Linked DNA regions of Rhinolophus ferrumequinum. The main gene of each other region encodes a partner of the protein of the gene in region 2 in a complex. Links are inferred from orthologs where the notes say so. Each region holds a gene or a part of one and is shown on either strand. Other genes may lie near its edges.

Evidence for each region. The genes of interacting proteins can lie anywhere in the genome.
Region 1: the proteins of BAK1 (region 2) and PXT1 are in contact, whole or in part, in a crystal structure (PDB 8GSV), measured with the Homo sapiens proteins. The link is inferred for Rhinolophus ferrumequinum from reciprocal best matches to the Homo sapiens genes BAK1 and PXT1. Residues at the interface, in NP_001179.1 of Homo sapiens: Ile81, Gly82, Asp84, Ile85, Asn86, Arg88, Tyr89, Glu92, Phe93, Met96, Leu97, His99, Leu100, Tyr110, Lys113, Ile114, Ser117, Leu118, Glu120, Ser121, Asn124, Trp125, Gly126, Arg127, Val129, Ala130, Phe134, Asn182; in NP_694535.2 of Homo sapiens: Ile78, Ile79, His80, Lys81, Leu82, Ala83, Met84, Gln85, Leu86, Arg87, His88, Ile89, Gly90, Asp91, Asn92, Ile93, Asp94, Arg96, Met97.

What each region holds. Positions count from the first base shown.
Region 1 is NC_046286.1:6,336,198-6,344,305, forward strand, and holds the start of PXT1 (peroxisomal testis-specific protein 1), read right to left. Parts: upstream 3,189-8,108; coding exon 3,017-3,188; intron 1-3,016.
Region 2 is NC_046286.1:3,846,079-3,854,399, forward strand, and holds the start of BAK1 (bcl-2 homologous antagonist/killer), read right to left. Parts: upstream 3,467-8,321; 5' UTR 3,189-3,466; intron 2,759-3,188; coding exon of another isoform or gene 2,709-2,758; exon of another isoform or gene 2,504-2,708; intron 1,151-2,503; 5' UTR 1,120-1,150; coding exon 1,050-1,119; intron 85-1,049; coding exon 1-84. Other genes in the region: gametogenetin-binding protein 1-like, read left to right, coding at 2,709-2,758, 5,514-5,632, 6,077-6,171, 6,403-6,550, 7,487-7,626. UniProt on the Homo sapiens protein: Plays a role in the mitochondrial apoptotic process. Upon arrival of cell death signals, promotes mitochondrial outer membrane (MOM) permeabilization by oligomerizing to form pores within the MOM.

The sequences.
Region 1 (8,108 bases), about 2.5 Mb from region 2:
AATCTTCTCTGAAACATATCTCAAAAATTACTGTCTCTTAGATGCCTTTTTTGAGTCTTCCAAAATAATGTGATCTCTCAGTACTTTGAGTATCTATAGTACTTTTACTGCTGTTGAGATACATCATATTCTACATTTTGTTAAAATCTTTGAATGTTTTTACTATGTAAAACAACAGAGATAATGCATACTAGATGTGTATATTAGTATACTTACCGACTGGATAAACATCATCTATAACGATAACTATAGGTTACAAGTTACTTCCGAAGAACTTGGAATTGAAAGAAAAAAATAAATGTCTTCAGGGAACTACAAGGCAAGATTAACGCCCTCCTATGTGTAGTGGAAATAGCTGAATTGGGCAGTCTGTGGAAAGGGAGAGGCTACCAGCTGTCCCTTGCACAAGCTGCTCCCTCTGCCTGAAACTCCCTTAACCCCTTCAGGTGAGGGCCCAGAGTCACATCATGAGGGAAGCGTTCTCTAACCTCCTTGCTAGGTAGGGCAAATCTCCATTATAGCATCTGGACCTCTTCTTGGAACTTATATTTAACATGTGTAATTAACTTCTGTCTGCCTCCTTTACCAGAAGGGAAGGGGCTGTTATTGTTTTTGTTCCCCATTGTCACCCCCGTACCTAGCACAGTGCCTGGAATATAGGTAGTAGGCCCTAGTCCTTTTTTGAATGAATAAAAAAATGAAAATGTTTCCTAGAAGAGGGGAAGAGTTGCTAAGCCTTAGATGAAGAAAAAAAGGCAAAATGAGCATCCAAGCACTCTCAAATGGAGAGAGCAGCTGCATTCAGTAACTGGACCCTCTATTGACTTCTACAATTATATATCCCATTTATACTCCTCATACACATACATATATAAATGATTTTTAAAAATTCTTCCCTTTCCCATCAATAATTATTACATTTTTAGGGGTGAGTAGGGTCTCTTTTTGCTTTTACTCATTTTTGTTTTCCCAAGAGTTTCTAATTTCCCTTAAATGACAAATCTGGATGGTTTCTCTGGATTTCCCAAGACCTTACCCACCCCCTCAACTTTTCGAAGACAAGTGGCTTTCAGTTCCCCATACAAAAACGATGTTTTCTTTGTCCCTAAAGAGTTGTTCATACGTGCAGACTTCCCCAAAGAAAGAGATAAAGGTCGGCTTCAGCGAGCCACTTTCCAGCCAATAACGACTGGAGGTTTCCATTTTCAGTGTCATAGCCCGGGACAAAAGCCGAAAAGAGGAAAAGGGGACGATCTCAATAATCAGCTTACTCACTAAGAGTTTTACTTTGGGCAGTACTGAGGGGGTTTTGTTTGTTTGCTTTTTTAAGGTTCTCTGCAGTGAGCTTCCCCGGGTCCTCCGAGCGCCGTCCGCCGCCCCACCACCGCTGTGCGGCCCACGCCTACTCTCTCCTGGGAAAAACGCGCGCTCGGCCGGGCCGTTTGGCGGTAGAAGTCACGTGGGCCTGCTTGGCCAATGGGGAGCGTGCACGGCGCGCGGCGGCCCGCGGAGGTCTCCCGCGCCCTCGGTGGCGCTTCTGCTCGCTCCAAGCCGCTGAGGCTTGGGCTCTGGGTGCTCGGAATACCCTGCTCGGCGCCTCTGATTACCCTCGCTGTGGCGTTGTCCACGCCGAACTAACAACACCATGTCCCTCTCACACCGCGCCCGTTAGCTTACACACCCCCCCCACCCATGTCTTCAGCGATATCATGAACTATAAAGCGGGGAAACGCGCCGCTGCCTCCTGGGCCAGAAGAGTGTTCGAAAGGAAATGGGAGGCTTGTGTGGGCTGACCTCTAATTGCGGGATCCGCCGTGGTATGCACCCACCAGACTAAAATACCAGTCACAAGCAAGATTTTACATATATGGTAAAACGCGAGTTCTAGGCATGGAAACAAACATGTAGGTTAGGTTGTTGTCTGTTTGTAAATCAAAGGCAGTAGCATTATTAACTCTTCACCCTTCTGTTTTTGAGATGAAATTAGGAAAGCATTTCGCGTAAATGTGGCTGCGGCCCACAGGGCACCTCAGAAGTTACCCATCAGCTTCACAGGGAGTCTGTGAGGATCTAGGGTACAGTGAGTGTGAAAACATATTGCAAAAGGTTTATAATAAAATGAGTTCTAGAATAGTGGTGATGATTGCACAACTTTGTGAATGTACTAAAAACTATTGAATTGTGCACTTTAAACAGTTGAACTTGTGTATGAATTACATCTCAAAAGTATGTATATGTTCTAGAAGGTAATCACAGGTGACAATCTCAGGCTTTGAGAAATAATTGTTGACACCTGCACACATGAAAATTCAAAATTTTCATCAACTGAGTTCTTTCTGGAAAATGTACACCATATTTGATATGGTAGCAAAAGACTATCAGGATGCTTGAAATTTCCACTTTCTCAGTGGCATATAATTCTTTTAAAATTGGAGAATCGTTTGAGATTAGTTTTAATAATTCCTTTCATGTGGCTAGCATACATTTAAGTAAGTCTAAAAGCCCATAAATTGGACCCCAAGACTCTTTAATGCTCTCAAAAACATAAGACTTTAGTTTTCCAACATCCTGGGACATTTAGGAATTACACAGTTTTGCAACACAAAATTTCAAGTTTATCTTTCCTTCATGTTCTTTTCTATGTTGGCAAAATCAAGAAGGAACCTATACTGAATTTTTCCTACCTTAAGAATGCAGACATTGTCAGGTCTCTGTTTAAAGACAAATTTTTATTAAAAGATAAATTTGATCTATTTTAGTTTATTTGGAGTCATCTTAATTAATTGTCACATCAATGGTTCAGGGCTAATAAAAACTAAGACATTTAATACCATGAAGCAAAGTCAGTTTTAGATTTTTACTATCTAGAACTTTGATGAATAGATTTACCACTATCTTCTTACAACTGGTTAATGTTTAAATAATCTACTTAATGCCCAAATTTATATCCTCAATGCCAAGAAAAATACATGCTAAGTAGAATATTTCTCTTAGTTTAATACAAGTAATGTCTTACCTGGGTTCCTTGGCATGGCTAAAACTGGCTGGTTGCTGACAAGTCGGGTCATGTATGCCTTCTGAAAACTGTATTTCACCCACAGTGATTTGCAACAATGTGTTACTTTGAGAGAGGGATTCAGAAGTTCTTTAGGTTCACAAACAATAGCATCATGTTTTTTCTGCTTCATGTTTTTTCCCTGTTGAAAAGATATATTTTCAGAGGATTTCTCAGTATATATTTGGTATGTTAGATGAATATTGATGTTCTAACAACACAAGCAGCTTTTATTCCATACATAAAAGAGTTATGGATTTGAGTGGAAGATGGAACATGGTGATCTCTACGGTCTTTTTCAACTTAAATAAACATCTCTCTGTGTTCCTTGGTCTTTAGATCTGCTACACTACCCTGCATCCGCATCTCCCAGAAGTTTTTCTTCACCTTTTCAATAGCCACATTCCAGCAATGGAACAGTCTAAATTAGTACACATAGAAAAAGAGACAAATTAGTGCAGCCAAAGAAAAAAGTAGATAAAAAAACCTAGAGAGGTGGGGAGGAATGGAGATGAAATACATTCTGTGTCCTACTTCGTGTGTGTGTGTGTGTGTGTGTGTGTGTGTGGGGGTGTGTGTCTGTCTGTCTGTCTGTCTGTTGTTAATTCTCCATATACTCAGTCCATCCCTACATTCTCTACAGACACCAATAAAGGCTATTCTCCTGCCTCCCCCTTTTTTCTAATACTGTAGCATAAATCCAGTAAGTTAAAGAATTGAACTAAGACTTTCATTGTCTATCAGTGCACTTAATTCTCTTAACTTAAAGGTTGGCTACAAAGTCTGACTTTCTATTTTACCCTCTAAATCTAATTAGTTACTGGAAAAAAAAGGAATGGATAAGAGAGTTCAGGACATAAAGAACAACTAAAGAAAGTAATAAGGGAAGCCTTCAGCGGCCTTAGATCCAATAAAACATGTGAATCATACATGTAATTTTAAGTTTTCTAATAAATACATTAAAAAAGTAAAAAGAAAGGTAAAATTAATTTTAATAATATAACTTAAAATGTATCCCAAAATAAATCCAAAAGTTATCATTTCAACAGGTAATCAACATACACATTTTTAAAGAAATAGTTTACATTCTCATTAAAGTAAGTCATCCAAATCTGGTATATATTTTACACTTAAAATACATCTCAAGGCCGACGCTATTATCCTCTGTTTCTCTGCCGCACCAACCTCGACATCTTGCCTATGTCCCCCGCTTGTTTACGGCCTATAGATTGGTGTGTCCATTTAATCCAAGAAAATGGAAACTGACCAGCCAGAGGAAATCTTCCCCAACACCAAAACCAGTGGTGAATTTGCTAAATGGCCTGCAGAAGATATGGAAGAGGAACAAGCTTTTAAAAGATCTAGAAACACTGATGAGATGGTTAAATTACGCATTCTGCTTCAAAGCAAGAATGCTGGGGCAGTGATTGGAAAAGGAGGCAAGAATATTAAGGCTCTGCGCACAGACTACAATGCCAGTGTTGCAGTCCCAGACAGCAGTGGCCCTGAATGCATATTGAGTATCAGTGCTGATATTGAAACAATTGGAGAAATTCTGAAGAAAATCATCCCTACCTTGGAAGAGGGCCTGCAGTTGCCACCACCCACTGCAACCAGCCAGGTCCTGTTCGAATCTGATGCTGTGGAAGGCTTGAATAATCAACACTATAAAGGAAGCGACTCTGACTGCCAGCTGAGACTGTTGATTCGTCAGAGTTTGGCAGGAGGAATTATTGGGGTCAAAGGTGCTAAAATCAAAGAACTTCGAGAGAACACTCCGACAACAATCAAGCTTTTTCCAGGAGTGCTGTCCTCACTCCCCTGACAGAGTCATTCTTATTGGAGGAAAACCTGATAGGGTTGAGGAGTGCATACAGATCATCCTTGATCTTACATCTCCCATCTTAGAGTCTCCCATCAAGGGATGTGCACAGCCTTACGATCCCAATTTTTGTGATGAAACCTATGATTATGGTGGCTTTTCAGTGATGTTTGATGACCGCCATGGGCGTCCCGTGGGATTTCCCATGCAGGGAAGAGGTGGTTTTGACAGAATACTTCCTGGTCCAGGAGGGTGTCCCAGGCCTCCATCTAGAAGAGATTATGATGACATGAGCCCTCGGCGAGGACCTCCTCCCCCTCCTCCTGGTCGAGGTGGCAGGGGAGGTAGCAAGGCTCAGAACCTTCCTCTTCCTCCACCACCACCTCCTAGAGGAGGAGATCTAATGGCCTATGACAGAAAAGGAAGACCTGGAGACTGTTATGATGGCAGGGTTGGTTTCAGTGCCGATGAAACGGGACTCTGCAATAGATACATGGAGCCCTTGAGAATGGCAGATGGCTTATGAACCACAGGGTGGCTCCAGATATGAGTATTCCTATGCAGGGGGTCGTGGTTCATATGGTGATCTTGATGGACCTATTATTACTACACAAGTAACTGTTCCCAAAGATTTGGCTGGATCTATTATTGGCAAAGGCGGTCAATGGATTAAACAAATTTGTCACGAGTCAGGTGCTTCAATCAAAACTGATGAGCCTTTAGAAGGATATGAAGATCGGATCATTACCATTACAGGAACACAGGACCAGACACAGAATGCACAGTATTTGCTGCAGAACAGTGTGAAGCAGTATGCAGATGTTGAAGGATTCTAATGCAAGATATTTTTTCTTTTTTATAGTGTGAAACGTTTTCCTAAGACTAGTGAAGAGCTGATAGAGTCCTGCATCTTTTTTATTTTCTGCTTCTGTTTAAAAAGCCAACATTCCTCTGCTTCATAGGTGGTCTGCATTTGAGGTGTAGTGAAATATTTGCTGTTCACCAGATGTAATGTTTTAGTTCCTTACAAATGGTGGGGGGGAGGAGATGCAAAAACTAACATTGAAATTTTGAAACAGCAGAGTGAGTGAATTCTAATCTTTGTTCATTGTTGGTTAAAAAGGAAAATTCCCCCTATGTGATTATTGTGAACACCTTACTTTGTGGTCATTGTAACATTTGGGGGTGGGGGAGACAGGGAGGAAAAGTAACAATAGTCCTTACGTCCCTGGCAACTATTCAGAGCAGTGTGCAGAATGTAATGCTCTTTTGTAAGAAATCTTTCATGATTTTTAAAATAAATTTAGTGAACCTATTTTTGGTGGTCATTTTTTTTTTTAAGACGGTCATTTTTCAAATGGCTAAATTCCCCAAACCACCCCCAAACTAAACACTAAGTTTGATTTTCAGCTCCTGTGTTGGAATAAATAAATGCATCTCTTGGACATAGGCAAAATATCTTGGCAAATTCAGTTCTGGTGATTTCTTAATGGTTTGAAAGTCCATTGCTTGTAAAGAAATCCCATCATACACATTCACGCTTATAATAAGCTGGGGATTCTGTTTGTTTTGCAAATGGCTGCCCCTACTTTGCAGCAGTTTTCTATGTTAATAATTGGGGAAAAGCACTAAGGTGGGGAACAGTACTACAGATTCAGTAATGGTGTAAGTATATACCAGAAGCCTAATGGCAGCAAGTTTTATTAATCAGAATAATACTTGGTTATGGAAGTGACTGCTAAATAAATCCTGATTATTTTTATTAGATAATTTCTCACCTATAGACTTTAACTGTCAGCTTGCCTAGTGTCTATTAGTTAAACTTTGTACTATATATATATATATATATATATATATATATATATATATATATTCTTGTTTTTCAATTGTATGCAAATTGAAAGAAAAAGATGTACCATTTCTTTGTTTTATGTTGGATAATGTAGGAAATGTTTGTGAACAATTCAAAAAAAAGATGAAAAAGTTCCTGTGGTTGTTTTGTGTAGTATCTTGACATTTGTAATAGTTAAAAGTTCACTTCCAAATAAAACACCTATAATGCTAGAATCGATGTTTACCCAATTTGAACAAAGGTTACTTGGCACCTGTAAAATTTGTTAAAACGTTCCTCTTGTAAGGAAATACAGTAATCTTAAATTATGGGGGGAAAAAAAAACCTCTTAATTTGGACCAGCCACATTTTGGGTGCTTGGTAGTTACCTGCGGCCATGACTACTGTATGAGACAGTACGTAGAGTAAAGCTGCATTTCAGCTTTAGCGGAAGAAGCAAGAATTGAAAAGAAATTACACTGAGAGAAAGGCAGTAAGCAATCTCAGCTATACAAACCAAGGCAGGTGACATCATCAGGTAGAATTCTGACTCATCATTTGTACATTTTCCAGTGTAGAATGAATACTACTTTGATATTTTGATTGTTGTAATTTGGGCCAGATTAGAGGAATTGGAGCTGTGGGATGAAGGGCTGTGAGATCCTGGGCATTTTTTTGGCACCTTGGGGATCCTGACATTTTAACTATACTCATCAGGCAAACTTCTGACCTTAATTTGATTTCTCAGGTAAACCTTCGATTGGGAAAATGACATGCTCACCAGCTAATGCATCAGAGCCAGATCAGCCCTGGATTAAAATTATTAAGTTACTAAATGGGCAAAATTGATAGTCAAGATGCAGTTACCAGGTGAGGTTCTTATTTGAAAGAGCCAGCTGACACCTTTATCCATCCGCCCCTTGTGAAACTGTCATTTTGCACTAGTTATTCATATGGCATTGCTAGATAACTGAGAATAAAATACCTAACCATGATCTTTTGAAATAATTGACCAAGAACGTTGGACTTGATTTTTCCCAAATAGGTTTTTATTATAATTTTCCCAAATAATTCTGCAGGATGTTAAGAGGTATTTATTGAAAAATAATCAATTCTAATTATATTTTTCACCTAAAATTTAGTTTTAAATATATGCAATAAAAACACTTCTTTGTGTAGTTATTATTATTATTGGATAATTGCCTTTAGGAAATGGTGTGCCTACCTGAAAACATCAGGAAATCCCAGAATTCACAAAAGCATAATAATGGATTTGCACATGGAAGACTGGGCAACCATTGAGCTGATATATGTGGCCTATTTAACAATCATTGGTTTATGTTAGATATCTTGTCTTATTATTTCAATATATATACATATTTTTCACTTAATAAAAGCTA
Region 2 (8,321 bases):
CCCCGTCAGCCTCCTGCTCCTGCTGATGGCGGTAAAAAACGTAGCTGCGGAAAACTTCCTCTGTGTCCTGGGCTACCTGCTCCTCTGAGGATCAAAGCCAGGAGTCAGGGAGGAAGAGCTGGACCTGGTAGCCCGTACTCTGGGGGTGCTTGCTCTTCCTCAAGGCCACAGCTGTCCTCACCCCTGGCAGCAGGGCCCCTACTCCAGCCCTTACCTGACACCTAGTGCTCACTCTGTGCCGGGTGGTCTTCTGGCACTTTCCATTTAATTCTCACAACAGCCTTGTGAAGTAGGTGACCCCCACTTTACAGATGGGGTACTGAGGCACAGGGGGGTTATGTAACTTGCACAGGGTGGTCATACAGCTGGAATGAGCAGTGGAGCCAGGATATAATCCCAGGCATTTGGGTCCCTGAGTTTGTTTTAGCTTGTACAAGGGACCCAGCTCTCACGGCTTAGGGAATATGGGACCACAAAAGTCACATAGGGAAATAGTGACAGACCCAGGATGGAACCCAAAGTCCAGGGAACAGCCTGTAGTGGGCTGTGAGCAGAAGGCTTCCCTGATGATCCCCTTAGAAGAGGGAAGAAGTGCAGCCATCTCACTTCCTCCCCAAAGTCATAAAGTTTTCCCTGTTGAGCAGACGGGACTCTGTGATAAGCCAACTTACTTCCTTATTTCTCCTACTGCAGGAATAGGCCAGCCACGCCCCACTCTTCTTTCCTTCTAACCCCATCCCACCCGTCTGCCCTGGGATGGCCCTGAGCCCACCTCACACTTACTCCCTAGCATCTCCCAACCTCTGTACCTCCCAGGCCCACACTCCTCCCCACTCCCAGGGGTTAACCTTGACTTCACTTTAGCTTCTGAGCCCAATGGGCCACCTGCATTGGATGAGAAGATATTTTCTCCTTTATCCAAGGTGAGTAAACTGAAGCAGGAGAGCCTGCCCCTAAGTCCTGCCTGGCCCTGTCCACTTCTGTTCTCTCCATCCTCACAGACAGCCCTGGTGGTTATGGGATGGGTGAGGGGACAGAAAGACCCTTACCCGAAGTGGAGGAAGGGGCAGGCTCTTCACACCCCTGCCTGGGAGGTCCTGGTCCTTGCCCAGATGCCATTTTTCAGGTCCCAGTGGAGGGCAGTGTTAGCCTGTGGGGGTGGGTTTAAAAAAGCAGAGATGAGGACAAGCAGGGGCCACTGACGAGAGCTTCCTACACAGGAGTGAGGGGGCGCCCACTCCCCAAAAGACCCCACAGTCCTAGCTTCAGCCATTCTTATTTCACCACCTTGGATCTGTGGAGTCTGCTGTGAAGTCCTAACTTATTGAGCATTTCACTGGCAACTTCAGGGTAGTCTGGGGATGAGAAAACCAAGGCAGCCAAGATTCTCAGCCAGGGATCAGCACGCTGGCATCCAGGGCCCCAGGAGGGGTGGCTATAGCACTGCCCTAGTGAGTCTCAGGTCACAGTTCACCTCACTCCTGGGAAGTGAAGCTAGTTTCATAGGCTGCGGGTTCTTTCCATTGCTCATGGGCCCTCTGCACCCTGCCCAGCACATGCTTACCACAAGCTTGCCAACTTCCCAGCCAATGACCCATGAAGGTCGTCCTCGAAGGTCCCACTTCCCCTTGGCTGGTCAGAGCACACCTGTTTTCCACCTCAGGCATATTAGCCACAAATATTTCGTGAGTGCCTATCGTATACTTCTACCATGTATGAGCACCTCAGGGGGTGTGGAAAATGCACATTAGCTCAGCAAGATAAGCATCATTATACCCATTTCACAGGTGGGAAAAATGAGGCACAAAGAGGCTACTGGCCAAGGCCACATAGCTAGTCAGAGAGTCAGGTTGGTTATCTGAACTTCCATGAGTCCATATACTCAACACTCAGTTAAGATTTATCTTCTGGTTTGTGGATCTCAGAGGGTATCCTTTCCAGGGCAACTTTTCCTGGTTACGTGTGGCCCGTGCCTTCCCATTCCTGCCTTGCAGTGAGCTGAGGAGCCCTCAAGAGTCAGAGCCTTTTTCACAGCGCCCCAGCCTGCCTCACACAGATACCTCATTTGCTCTCCAGTCCCCAGCCCCATTTTTCCTCTTTGCCTAGCCCTGGCTATAGCCCCAATGTTCTCCGTGAACCCTTGACACAGGGAGTATTTCCTGGACATGAGCTGTTTCACTTTCAATTTGCATCCCTTTTATTTCCCCTACCCCCCAGCTGCTTCCATCACCCAGGCGGGAGTGCCCTTCCCCCCATTCCTGGGGAGGGGACAGCCCCCACCCTGGGCTAGGCAGAACAGCCCCTCCTCCTTGGGAAGGCCTGTGTACCCTTCCTCACCCCCTCCCTCTCAAGCCTGAGGCCATTTTTGAAAGTCCCCAAGGACTGAGAAGGTGTGGGGGAGGGCTGGACCACCAGTGTACTCAGCTCTCCACCCCTCCACTCTCAGGGCGGGAATAGGGAGAAGGCAGATCCTCCCTCTACCACACCCGGGCGCTCGTCAAGATAGACCTTTGCCTGGCACACCCCCATCCCGGTAGCTCTTTCAGGAACAAGATACCTGTGCCTCTCCCCTGGTCCCCCAATCCGGGCACCCCGGGACAACAGGGCCAGAGGATGCTGACTCAACCTGCAACTCCCTTTCCCACGACCCCAGGGCTCACTGCTGGGAAGGAGGTGGAGTCTCAGAACAGTCCCCGGACCAGAAGTCTATGCCAACCCGGGCCTACCCCTGCCCCCATCCAAGTGGCCTGACTTCCTGGTAAGGGGAGTCCCCTGCACCCTACCTACTGGGGCTGCTGGCCCAGAAAGTTCCCCAAGGGAAATGCCTGGCCGGGCTGCAGATGGAGTCCAGGGCTCCTGGGGCAGCAGGAAGTGCCGTCTGGGCTCTCCCCCTGCTCTTGACCTTGGCTCTGACCTCCACTCCCGTCCCCCAGAATGCTAGCAGACCTGGTTATTTGGCCCCGATTCTCAGGCACTCAGGGCCTGGGCATGAGGGGAAGCTGTCTTAAGGGGCAGCCAGAGGGAGCCCTGGCTGATCAGGCCCCTGGCAGGGGTGGTGAGGCTGCCCAGGCAAGGCTCCTCCTCCCACCCAGCTCCAGTGGGCGCCCTGCCCCACCCTAGGCCTGGGGTTGCCCAGAGTGGGGAGGATGGACAGGACCCTCCTCCGCCGTCCCTCAGCCCCAGCTTACCTGTCGGGACCCTAGCCTCGGCCTAGGATGGGAGGAGACTGGAGATCCTGAGGGGCTAGCGGCTGCTCCCAGGCGAAGGTGCCCAGGCCTGCTTCCAGGAATGGGTGTCAGTGAATTCCTGGAGTCTGGATGCAGCCTCTGCTCGTCCCAGGGCAGCCCTGGGGACTGAGAGGCTCCGCTGAACATAGAGCTGCCTGCCGGCTCCAATCAGCTCCCTCTAGAGGAAGTCGCTCTGCGGCAGCCGGATGCGGATGTACCTCTGGCGGTCTGGGCTCAGAGCCCCCACCGCAGCCTCGGCCGCGCATTGGAGTGGCTCCTCCCCTGCTGCTTTTCCCACTCTGGAGCCTTGATCTTTCCCCCTCCCATCAATCAATACCAATAAACAAGTCAGGATGGTGACGTTTCTTAAGCACCACTGTGTGCCATGAACTTTAGTAGCCATCGTCTCATTGAATCATCTCAACAGCCCTTGGAAGTAGGTGCCATCAGCTACACCCATTTTACTGATGAACAAAAGCAGCTGAGGCTCAGCTGTTCGAAGGAACTCTTCCCAAACTCACTAAGCTGGGTTTAGAATCAAGACTCTAGGTGCAGTGGGGAATAATAATACTAAGTTGAGATACAACGTACAACTAAGACCTGTACTAGGCACCTAGGTGGTCTCTGGAGGTAGAAATCCTGAAGGTTATAGGCAGGTAAACAGATGAAAACGTGGTAAGGTCTGCTCCCCGCATGGGCACATGCAAGCTGAGTATTCAGAGGGGAGAGAAAAGGGCCACAGATACCAGCTGGCCATCGTCAGTGGTTCTCAGTGACAGAAGCAGCCACAGGCAAGGACAAGCCAGGGGGAGGGAGGGTGTGCCGAGTCCTCGAGAGCCCTGCCTGCCTCGTGCTCTGGGTCCAGGTCCACTGTCCACCCTCCCTCCGACCCCCTGCTTCCTGGAGCCTCACCAGCCAGCCCCCAGACTGGCTCCCCAAGCCTCCTTCCCCTGCCTCATCCGCCCCCTGCCCTCTCTGTCCCCAACTAATCCCCCACCATGCCCTGCCCCCATCACTGCCCCCCCGCCCCCCCCCTGCCTGCCTGACCTTTGCCTTCTAGAACTCCTGGAAGTTTCCAACTGTAGGTTTTCATTTAAAAACTCCTCCTGTTCTTAAGCAGTTGGTCCTGGGGTGGCTGCTACAGTTCCTCCCTGTGAGTCACGGTCCCTCTCAGGATGGAGAGCCCAGCTCCAACCCCTCGATACCGAATTTTGGGCCGCTCCTCCATGTTCCGCTTTTTTCGTAGCCTGGTGGGGAGCAAGGGCAGCCCAAAGAGCTCTGACAAGGCTCTGTTGGGAGATCGGGCGTGCCCCTCGCAAGAGCAGGATGCCATCCCCCTGATGATGGACCACCAGGAAGGGGTGGAGAGGAAGGAGCCCAGGCCATCCGCCACGGGACCCAACACCCTCTCTGTGGCCCTGCCACCAAACGATCCTTCAGGGCTGGGGATGGGGGACATGGGGGCCCAGATCCCCACCCCCATGGAGGTCCTGAAGGTCGTGGCCCAGGGTGTAGAGATGAAGTCATTCGGGCCCAGAAGCAGCCAGGAGGTGTCTGAGAAGGAGGGAGAGGAGGAGCAGAAGGAGGCAGCAGGGAAGGCCTCTGGGGATACAGGGTCCTCAGACAGGTGAAGGACTGGGCTGTGGGTGAAGGGAAGGGGTCTGGGATGGAAGTGCTGGGACAAGGCCTGGATGTAAGACGGGAAGGATTTGGGCCTGAGATGGGAGGACCCAAATGGGGGAGAGGCCAGAATGCGAGTCCCTGGATGGGTGGAGGACTGGACCAGGTAACTGGACGGGGAAGGATGGACATACCAAGGGCAAGGAGAAGTCTGGAGATGGGGTGTGAGTATGTGGGGAAGAGGCAGAGATGAGGTTTCTCCCACAAGTTAGGAGTTGTGGATGGAGGCACCTAAAGGAAAGGGAGACAGGCTGGGGACTGGGAAGGAAGCGTGCCAGGGTGAGCGGGCTCCCATTGCTTCCCAGCTCCTTCCTCGGCCCCACCCCACCCTGCCTTTCCTCCCCACTTTCTCCCTCCTGGTTCCCACTGCCATTTGGACCTGGCACCGCTCTCCCCCTCCCCATGAGGAAGGGGGACCATCTCTCAGCTACCCCCCACCTCCATGATGAAGCCTCAGAGGACCCAGCAAGGATCTGTTGGGAGCAGGAGCATGGAGGGGCTGAGCAGGGCCTGTGGGAGAGGCTTGGGTGTGTGTGAGGGTGTGGGGCCTTTGCCACATCTCTGGGCCCCACCTGCCACTCCCACCTGACTGTGCTTTGGAATCAGGGACCACTTTGCCCAAGCTCTGGAGCTGGAGAAAGGATGCCTGCAGAGCTCCATGGGGCCACTGGAGGTCAGCCGGGAAGCCTTCAACTGGGAGGAGGAGTGTCTGCTGGACGGGGATGGTGAGTGTGGGAGGGGCCACAGGTGTGGGGCGGGGCCATAAACAGATTCTCCTCCTCTAGGACTCTGCAGGGCTGTGGGACCTGGGAGGACGAAGCCTAAGGGAATGCTGGAGGCAGACTCCCTGGGTTTGAATCCCAACTCCGCTGTGTTGAGCTGTGTGTGGTGGCAAATTGTTCAGCCTTTCTGTTTCTCAGTTTCCTCATCTATAAAATGGGACTGTAATAGTACCTATCTCAGAGGTAGTTGCAAGGATTAAATGAGATGTCCTTTATAAAGTGCCTAGAAATGTGTCTGCCACATAGTAGGTGTTTGCTAAAGAAAACCAGGAAACTTCACCCGCAGCTCAACCTTCCAGCTGTCCCTGCCCTGCTGGGCCTGGGCCACATCCCATTGCTATTAGCTCCCATTGCTATTAGATTGTCAGTGCCACTGTCCCATCACAGGAGACCTCAGGCTGGCCTCTTCGAAGGTGGGGGCAACTCCCTGGAACCGCCTCCTCACCTTGTACAAGCAGCTTCAGAAATCGACCATGACCAAGGTCTGTGGGGCCAAGACACAGTGGTTGGGGGAGGGCCCAGGGAGGCCTGGGTGGGGCCCTTCCCCACTTCTGGCTGGGCCCCAGGATATGTGGCTTGGACCATGGGCGAGCAGTCCCCTTTCCTAACCTTTTGGAGGCTGTTCCCTCCTGCTTTCTGTTTTACGTGGGGTGGGGCAGGGACTGCAGGCTTGGGGTCCTCCTCACATGCTCAGTGACCTGGCACACCCTCAGTTTCCTCTCAAGGAAGCCTTACTCCATGAGGAGGAAAGTGAAGAAGAGGAAATGGAGGAAGAGGACAGCTCATTCAAGCTCTGTGTCCCAGGCATTGCCACACTCCAGTCGCCAATCCATAAGACTTTTAGATCGACAGATACAGTGGGTAAGTGCGCTGCCCCACCTCCCCTCCCAACCTGCCCGGAGGAGGGAATCACACTTTGTCTCGCGGCTCATGGGTGCAATACCAGTTTTTACCACCAGGTGGTAACAGAGGACCTAAGATGACCACCCGAGGTGGGGGCCAGTGCCGGGTGGGGGTGGGTGGCTGGGCTGGAGGCCATACTCACGGCTAGCTAGGGTCCTCCTCTGTCAAGGTTTGGGAGGCAGCAAGGTGGGGGTTGTGATGACTGGGACTGTGGCTCCTCGAGTGCCACCCTTTCGCAGCCTGGAATTCTCTTTTGGTGGCCACCTCCATCCCTGGTTTTCCTATCACATATCCACTGTTGTGACAGTACCCCAAAGGGTGTCCTGAGGGCAGATAAGGAAAGAGTGGGGGCTGGTGATAATATGATAAAATCGTTGCATTTACATAGTCATTCCTATGGGCCAGATCCTCTTCTAAGAACTTTTCACGAAATAATGCGCTAGGACTCCGAGGTAGGTCCTATTATAGTCTCCACTTCAGTGAGGAAACTAGGCACAGAGAGGTTAAGTAACTTGTCCAAAATCACGCAGCTAGTAAGTGGCAGAGCTGGGACTTGAACTGAGGCAGTTTGGATGGTTCCAGATCCATGCTCATGAGTTGGTGGCTGGATGGGGGGGCAGATATCTGCCCCTTGCATGCTCTTCCCAGGAGGTGATGAGACACAGTCATGCTTGCAGGAGGGAGCCCATGGAGAGTGAGTTTCTTGAGGAAGGCATGGCGGTGGGGAGATGGTGTCTGGCTGGCTCCAGGTAATGGGTGACGAAACCACTATGGCTGGGGTGACCACAGGGCTAGGAGGAGGTCGGAGAGGGAGCCGCCGCCTCTTCCTTTGACCTCCAGCAGGTTGCTCCACCCCACTCCTGCCTGTCCTTTGCCCATCTCTTTGGCTGTCAGGTTTCATGGAGTCAGAGTTAAAGAAGCTTCTGGTAGTACAGCGGGAGTCCCGCCTCTGGAAGATGGGCATTCATGAGGACCGGGAGCTACTGACCCAACCAGAGATCACCTTGGAGGAGGCGGGCATTTTGGATGGCCAGGTATGCCTGAGGACCCTGCCTGAGGACATTTGCAAAATGGGGCTGGAGGCCTCCCATCTCCGTAGGCCCTGACCCTGGCTCCAGCCCCCACCACACTGCCTGGGTAGGGAAGGCAGAATCCCTTCTTGGTGGTATTTCTAAGAATAGGACCGTGACCCCCTGCACACACACAATTCTCCATCAGTCTCTCTCTGTCTCTCACTTGACTCAGAGTCCAAATGTCCATTTTTAAGGCTTGACTTTGCCATTCACTTGCTGTGTGGCCTTGGGCAAGTCCCTTCCCCTCTCTGGGCCTCAATTTCCTCATCCATACAAGGAGGAGATTTGCCTAGGTGGCTTTAAGGCTTTCCAGTTCATCTGTATCTCACATAATGTTGCTCTTTTTCTATTTTCTCTCCCATTCACACCCAAGCCTACTCCCACACACATAGGTGTGAGGCAGTTCCCCTGCTGGGTCACACCGAGGACCACCCGCTGCCCACCCTCCTTGACATCAGCCTTAAACATTAGGCCTGTCCCAGCTTCTCTGAGTGCACATGGATGGACGTGTTGTTGAAACGTGTGTGGGTATCCTTTCTGAGTTAATTTCCATTCGTTCGTCAGTTCATTCTTTCATTCAGTGGACAGATGCCCCTGTCGGTCTGTGTGATTTACAAAACGAAAGAGCACAAGGTTTGGAGACCAGAGTCTTTAGT